Linked DNA regions of Macaca mulatta. Each later gene encodes a partner of the first gene's protein in a complex. Links are inferred from orthologs where the notes say so. Each region holds a gene or a part of one and is shown on either strand. Other genes may lie near its edges.

Region 1 (4,346 bases):
TTGTTGCAGTGAAATGTACAGAAGGGGTAATTGGCCCTGTCTGGGGACCAGGAAAGACTTCCCGAAGGAGGTGAATTTTCAGCTAAACTTCTCAGGATGTGGAGTGTTTCCTCCAGTTGTGGGAGAGAGAGAGGAGGAGATTTCAGGTGAAGTGAACAGCTTTCCCCGCTGACCCTGGGGTAAGTTGCCCAGGGGCTCTATCGCACAGGTCCCCCAGAGGAAGGGAGCTTCCATACTTCAATGGGTTTTCATTTAGAATACTCGAGTTCAGCTGGAATTCAGAACTTCCAGACTTACCAGAAAAGCATCATGTGGGAAATTGTGCCGGGCGCAGTGGCTCACGCCTATAATCTCAGCGCTCTAGGAGACCGAGGCAGGTGGATCACGATGTCAGGAGATGGAGACCATCCTGGCTAACACGGTGAAACCCCGTCTGTGCTACAAACATAAAAAATCAGCCGGGCGTGGTAGCGGGGGCCTGTAGTCCCAGCTACTCGGGAGGCTGAGTCGGGAGAACGGCGTGAACCTGGGAGGCGGAGCTTGCAGGGAGCCGAGATCGCGCCACTGCACTCCAGCCTGGGCTACACAGCGAGACTCCGTAGAAAAAAAGAAAAAAGAAAAAAGAAAAGCATCATGTGGGAAATGGCTTTTCCAGCCTCCTGTAGGGGCCGCTGCTGCCCCAGACTCAGCCAGTCTCTTCTAAGAAAACTCGGAGGACGTCTTTGCCGGGGTGGAGGTGGGGTACACCCTGGACCTGCCGCCATCCAAGGAGTGGACTTTAGGGCGGCAGTGCCCCCAAGCCTGAAGAATATGCACTCAGTCAATGGCATTTGGTGGTAGGGAGGGGGTGTAGTGGGCACAGATATTTTTCAGTCTCTGGGTCACCACAAGTTTATTAAAATAAAAGAAAATGTGGGTAAATGCTGCCATCTGTGCTGTCCCTACTCCCAATACACACACACACACACACACACACACACACACACACACACACACAGAGGCACACACACACAGACACACATAAACACACACATACAACAAATCAGGTCCCAGGCTAGATGCAGGAGTTGAAACTGCTTTAAAAACACTCTAAGGACTTAACTACAAACCCACACTCCCCATGCTTCTGGGGCTTAAGATCTTTGAGCTCATTCTTCAGCATCTCTCCTTGGGAAGGTGGGGTGGGCTGCTCCATGAGGTGGAGGTGAAGACCCCTGAGTCTGCTCCATGGAGGGGGAGGCCCCCTAAGCCTAGAGTCCCGCTGCGGGGCTCTGTGCCAAGAGCCCCCGTGAGCCATGGCCTCGAAAGGGCAGCGGTGATTTTTTTCACATAAATATATCGCACTTAAATGAGTTTAGACAGCATGACATCAGAGAGTAATTAAATTGGTTTGGGTTGGAATTCCGTTTCCAATTCCTGAGTTCAGGTTTGTAAAAGATTTTTCTGAGCACCTGCAGGCCTGTGTGTGTGTGTGTGTGTGTGTGTGTGTGTGTGTGAAGTATTTTCACTGGAAAGGATTCAAAACTAGGGGGAAAAAAAAACTGGAGCACACAGGCAGCATTACGCCATTCTTCCTTCTTGGAAAAATCCCTCAGCCTTATACAAGCCTCCTTCAAGCCCTCAGTCAGTTGTGCAGGAGAAAGGGGGCGGTCGGCTTTCTCCTTTCAAGAACAAGTTATTTTCAGCTGCTGACTGGAGACGGTGCACGTCTGGATACGAGAGCATTTCCACTATGGGACTGGATACAAACACACACCCGGCAGACTTCAAGAGTCTCAGACTGAGGAGAAAGCCTTTCCTTCTGCTGCTACTGCTGCTGCCGCTGCTTTTGAAAGTCCACTCCTTTCATGGTTTTTCCTGCCAAACCAGAGGCACCTTCGCTGCTGCCGCTGTTCTCTTTGGTGTCATTCAGCGGCTGGCCAGAGGATGAGACTCCCCAAACTCCTCACTTTCTTGCTTTGGTACCTGGCTTGGCTGGACCTGGAATTCATCTGCACTGTGTTGGGTGCCCCTGACTGGGGCCAGAAAGCCCAGGGGACCAGGCCAGGATTGGCCAAAGCAGAGGCCAAGGAGAGGCCCCCCCTGGCCCGGAACGTCTTCAGGCCAGGGGGTCACAGCTATGGTGGGGGGGCCGCCAATGCCAGGGCAAAGGGAGGCACCGGGCACACAGGAGGCCTGACACAGCCCAAAAAGGATGAACCCAAAAAGCTGCCCCCCAGACCGGGTGGCCCTGAACCCAAGCCAGGACACCCTCCCCAAACAAGGCAGGCTACAGCCCGGACTGTGACCCCAAAAGGACAGCTTCCCGGGGGCAAGGTACCCCCAAAAGCAGGATCTGTCCCCAGCTCCTTCCTGCTGAAGAAGGCCAGGGAGCCCGGGTCCCCGCGAGAGCCCAAGGAGCCGTTCCGCCCGCCCCCCATCACACCCCACGAGTACATGCTCTCGCTGTACAGGACGCTGTCCGATGCTGACAGAAAGGGAGGCAACAGCAGCGTGAAGTTGGAGGCTGGCCTGGCCAACACCATCACCAGCTTTATTGACAAAGGGCAAGGTGAGGGGCGGGGTGGCAGGGGCACGGCTCAGAGGGAGGGGCATCTGCATGAATGGAGGGGCTTTCAAAGCCCTGGCACTGCCCTGGTGGGAGACACTGTGTGCATCTGGCCCGGGGTGGGTGTATGGGGACGCTCACACATATCTCACACATAGCAGATCCCGAGCTGCCCACACATCAGGGCTGGAGGGCACCTAGGAATCACCAGGTTCAACGCCTGCAAGGTGCAGGGCGGGCACTAAAGCCTAGAGAGGAGACAACACCTGCCAGTTGGTGGCAGAGTTGGAGACCGGATTCCAAGACTTGATTCCCCAGCTGTGCATCTGTCCCTGCTGGGCTGGCCGAACTTTCCACGCTCCAGGGGTTTGTAGGTGGTCTCAGATGGCAGAGAAAGAAATGAATCTTGAGGTCCCCGTGGTTCTGCAACTTTGCCCTCAGGCAAGGGGATAGAGGAGGCAAGAGAGGTGCTCACAGTAAATGGGGCATCTTGGAGTCATGGAATGATGTTCGAATATATGGGGAGGGAGCAGACCTAGGGTCTAACTCGCAGTGTGACCTTGGGAAAGCCCCTTCTCACTTGGGGTCTCTGTTTTCCCATCTGTACACCTATATGGGGTTGGACAGGGTGGTTTCTGAGAGCGCTTCCGACATGAAAACTTTAGGTCCTGTCCTGAACACGCCTCATTCTCCTTACATTAACTCGGGAGACTACCTGCTCCCCTCTGTCTCTCTCTGCTCCCCTCTGTCTCTCTCTGCTCCCCTCTGTCTCTCTCTGCTCCCCTCTGTCTCTCTCTGCTCCACTCTGTCTCTCTCTGCTCCCCTCTGTCTCTCTCTGCTCCCCTCTGTCTCTCTCTGCTCCCCTCTGTCTCTCTCTGCTCCCCTCTGTCTCTCTCTGCTCCCCTCTGTCTCTCTCTGCTCCCCTCTGTCTCTCTCTGCCCACCTAGTGTTACTGTTGCAGCTTTTCCTCTCCACTTGCTGTGTGATCTAAGCAAGTCCCTCCCGCTCTGAGGGCCTCAGTTTCTTCCTAGTGTGAAGAGGGAGGTGGGCTGTTGGTCGCTCAAGTTGCCTGCAGCTCATTTGCTCTGGTCCTAGGCTGGCAGGGTGGGGGAGGGGTCAGAGGGTGGGAGAGGTTTCTCATTAGAGCTGGCCTGGAGGGGGCTGCCGGGGCGGGGGGTGGGGGGGTGGGAGAGGCACAGAGGCAGCAGGTCTGGCTGAGGTGGGGGAGGTGGTCTGGCTGCCTGCCCAGCCAGGGAAAGCTGTGACCCCTTGGGGGCTCATAAAATAAGTCCTTGTGCCCCCCAGCACTAAGGGAGCTTCGAGAGGGGGAGATGGGGAGTTTAAAGGCCTAATTAGTCACCTTCTAGAGCAATATATGAAAGCTCCCCAATGGCAAATTGGTATTCAGGAAGGAGGGCATGCTGATTCAGAGATACTACTGAGCTTCTCACATAAGCATACATAGCCTTATGTTTATACAGACGTGCTGAATCACACATGTACACGCATGCTGACTCACACACGTACACACATGCTGAACCACACATGTACACACATGCCGAATCACACATGTACACGCATGCCGAATCACACACGTACGCATGTGCACACACACCTTCTTACATACACGTGTACACAAGATCGATTATGCACATACATACATATATGTGCTCTTCAAATAGTACACAAGCCCAATCATTTATACATATAATGCATCATTAACGTATACTCTTTCATATTCACACATGAACCCAACATTAACGTATACTCTTTCATATTCACACATGAACCCAATCAC
Region 2 (3,649 bases), on another chromosome or scaffold:
ACAAGTCCTCTACATAGGAGTTATGTGACTTTTCTTTGCTAATCACAGTCATGTAATCACAGAAAGCTGATTTATACAATTTTATAAGGTAAGTCATGTTTTGAAAATATACTTTAAAATAACTTTGTCTCTTTTTACCCATTTTTTCAGTACTCCCATATTGTATATGCTAATAGATAAAAACTTTTCTCTGAAATATACAGATAGGCTTAATGACCCAAAAAAGGGGGACTGAAAGGCACCTTTTACTGAATATGATGGGAAAACAGGGAGAGGACTTTTGAATAAATTTTCAATAAATTTACATACATATATTTAATGAAATTATTATCTTAGTGTTAGCATCCTGGAATTTCCCCTTAATATATTCATATAGACTTCAACAGGTCTGGGAGAAATTTCTAAAAGCTTTTTCTGCGCTCCTATTTATTGTTAATATCAGGAATTGTGCTGCTTCTACTTAGAAGAATTTTGCAGAATTCTTTGTTTTCTGTCAGGAGAAAATGTTACGTGTGGGGCAGAATTCTGCTAAAATGGATGACTCAGTTTTACTCTGGGTTACTCTGGGTTACTAACAGACAGCCCATTATATCAGGCAGGTACTACAGACAAGAAATTTAGCAAAAGATTATTTGGTGACACAGTGGAGAGCAGTTCCCTGCTGGCAAACTCCCAGGAAGGTGTAAATGGAAAACTAGTCACAGTCAGCCATGCAGAGTCCACCACCACCAGGGGACAAGCAGCACACCTAAGACACGATGACCATCACATAGGTTCAAGAGTTTACGTGTAAAGTTTCATGCTTTCTATCTGGTCCATTCAAGGAGCATACAATTATTAAAAGTACAAAACATGACATTCGTTACTGCCTCTATAACAAGGAGACAATTAATTCAGGTTGAGTTGTTCAGGCAATTTTTTTTTTTGGTCTTATTAAGTCAATATGTCAAGTGTTTCCAACAAATATGGACTAGAATTACATAATCATATATAAACATGTTGTGGAGTTAACATGAAATACAGTAGAAAAATTATAAATCAGATTTGGATTGGTAAATTCACAGGTAAGAAAAAAGTTCAAAATTAATTAACACAATATGATTAATATATATCCGCAGAATATTTCAACCAATTAAAAAGTAGGAGGCCAGGTGTGGCAGTTCACACTAGTAATCCCAGCACTTTGGGAAGCTGAGGTGGAAGGATTGCTTGAGCCCAGGAGTTTGAGACCAGCCTGGGCAAAATAGCAAGACCCTGTCTACAGAAGAAGTAGGAGGTTGTCGGTGAGTTTTTTGATTTTTTTTTTTGGTAATCTCTAAGTTTTCTAAAATGACTTCAAGATTAAAAGATCATTAAAAAACTCAGATGTTAAAAAAAATACTAAATCCCTTTGAAATTATTTTAAAAGCTGCATTATAACATAATTCTAATATAGTAACTCACCTATCAATCATTTAATGGAGTAATGTTCTAATACACAAAACACAAGGCTTTTTGGCTTTCTGGAAAGATACCATATATGAAGGAAAAAAAAAAAACCTTAGACAAGCTTAATAATTCTTAAAATAGCACTAAATGCAACTCTATTCTCCTAACTCTTAAGAAGGGCTGCATAAAATACTTACATGCATGTGTTATTAATAGCATCATCCGGGCAGTGCCCTGAGCAATAGCACTTTAAAAAAGGCAAGGTATCCTCTGGTGCTAAGGTTACTCCATTTTCTGACTTTTTCTGGTCGGAGTCTGATTTCATCCCAGTGCCATGGAGCATACTGTCTAGATTCTGTCCTGCATTCAAATATGGAATTTGTAAGTAAATCATTTCTGAAAAGCTCATTGTTTGATTACAATTTTCAATGAGAAAACGTTGCTAAGCTTTCTTATCACAATAATTGTAGCTAACATGTTTCTTTAGAAATGTAAATTTCATTCATACAACAAACAGACATTTCTTAATAAGTTACTATGCACAGAATTACTGCACCAGGTATTGTGGGGTATATGAAGACAGCTATATCACAATTTTTGCACTAGTGAAAGACAAACAAGAGTGGTACAAGGCAGAATACAGTCAAATCTTGTTTTTTATATTTTTAAAATAACTTTAAAAAATTTTAATTTAACCAGGGGAAAGCATGAACACAGTCCCTCACTATCACAATTATGCAGTTGAGTTTCCCATGTTTGGGGAAATCACAGGGGTCAGCACATCTGGAGTGCAATGAATAAGCCTCGCCCTGGGAAAACCACCTTCGTGACCCTGGTCTCTCCCTTGTCAGGTTAAAGTATACAGTCATCACTTGTAAGAAAGGTACAAAATGGGGAGAGACTTCAGAGACGTCTGTGAGAGTTTCCAACCATTAAATAGAGACAAGTTATGATTCTTCTTTTAACTCTTTGGTTCAAAACTTGTGACTAGCTTTCCTTTATTTGCGCCTCTATGTGGAAAAGGAGTTACTAAGCATCTTGCTTTGGCCTTTAATTGCTTAAGTAAGGAAATCATGAGAGCACAGGGACCAATCATGTTATCTGGAGACTTTTACCTCAAGGTCATTGGTTTGAATGCAGACCAGGGTGGCAGAAAGTGAAGGTTATAGAAGGGCAGCAGTTAGCTCACAGAAATGGAACTATGTTCTTACATGAGAGCCTAGTAGCCTGCAGTGACACATACTGTCATATCTGGTACTAAATCTTTCAGGTTGGAAACAGAACAGTACTAAAAAGACTGTTCTAGTAATTACTTCTTCTCTCTGACTCAGCTAGGCCATTCTTTGTGGGTTACTCTCAAGGGAATAAAAGGTAGAACCAAGCAGACAAGTGTATATGTATTTCATTATAAATGTTAAATAAGTGGTTCAAGACACAACACAGACTTGACATTACATTTAACATACTGATAAGATAAACTACTGAAAAGACAAAAAATATCACATATGCACACACTGATAACAGAAAAAGCACTGCTAAATAGTATTTTGGTGATTCCACGCCTTCAGTTTTAATAATCTTCACTTTTTTTTTTTTTGGAGACATGGTCTCACTCTATTGCCCAGGCTGGAGTACAGTGATGTGATCATAGCTTACTGCAGCCTCAACCTCCCAGGCTCAAGTGATCCTCCCACCTCAGCCTCTAGAGTAGCTGGGACCAAGGGCACATGCCACCAGGCCTGGCTAATTTTTAAATTCTTTATAGGGACAAGGTCTCCCTATATTGCTCAGGTTGGTCTTAAACTCCTGGGCTCAAGTGATCCTCCCGCCTCAACCTTCCAAAGTGCTGGGAATACAGGCGCGAGCTACCATACCTGGCCAATAACCTTCACTTTCTTATGCTGAATATTTAGTAAAGGAATTTGCTACTGAATGACTATATATTAACAAACAACAGGAGAGAAAACTTTTTTTTTTTTTTTGAGATAGAGTCTCCTCTGTCACCCAGGCTGGAGTGCAGTGGCGCAATCTTGGCTCACTGCAACCTCTGCCTCCCAGGTTCAAGCGATTCTCCTGCCTCAGCCTCCCGAGTAGCTGGGATTACAGGCACCCCCCCATCATGCCTGGCTAATTTTTTTGTATTTTGTTGGTAGAGACGGGGTTTCACCATGTTGGCCAGGCTGGTCTCAAACTCCTGACCTCAAGTGATCCACCTGCCTCA

The links. Proteins that work in one complex are often made in the same cells at the same time.
Region 2: the proteins of GDF5 (region 1) and BMPR1A are in contact, whole or in part, in a crystal structure (PDB 3QB4), measured with the Homo sapiens proteins. The link is inferred for Macaca mulatta from reciprocal best matches to the Homo sapiens genes GDF5 and BMPR1A. Residues at the interface, in NP_000548.2 of Homo sapiens: Arg399, Phe435, Pro436, Leu437, Ser439, His440, Glu442, Pro443, Asn445, Val448, Ile449, Leu452, Ser455, Met456, Pro458; in NP_001393490.1 of Homo sapiens: Gly65, His66, Cys67, Pro68, Ile77, Thr78, Phe83, Ile85, Glu87, Cys100, Met101, Lys102, Glu104, Gly105, Phe108, Gln109, Asp112, Ser113, Lys115, Ala116, Gln117, Arg120, Ile122.

What each region holds. Positions count from the first base shown.
Region 1 is NC_133415.1:88,244,665-88,249,010, reverse strand, and holds the start of GDF5 (growth/differentiation factor 5), read left to right. Parts: upstream 1-1,542; 5' UTR 1,543-1,926; coding exon 1,927-2,551; intron 2,552-4,346. UniProt on the Homo sapiens protein: Growth factor involved in bone and cartilage formation. During cartilage development regulates differentiation of chondrogenic tissue through two pathways.
Region 2 is NC_133414.1:62,961,102-62,964,750, forward strand, and holds part of BMPR1A (bone morphogenetic protein receptor type-1A precursor), read right to left. Parts: intron 2,290-3,649; exon of another isoform or gene 2,125-2,289; intron 1,789-2,124; coding exon 1,626-1,788; intron 1-1,625. UniProt on the Homo sapiens protein: On ligand binding, forms a receptor complex consisting of two type II and two type I transmembrane serine/threonine kinases.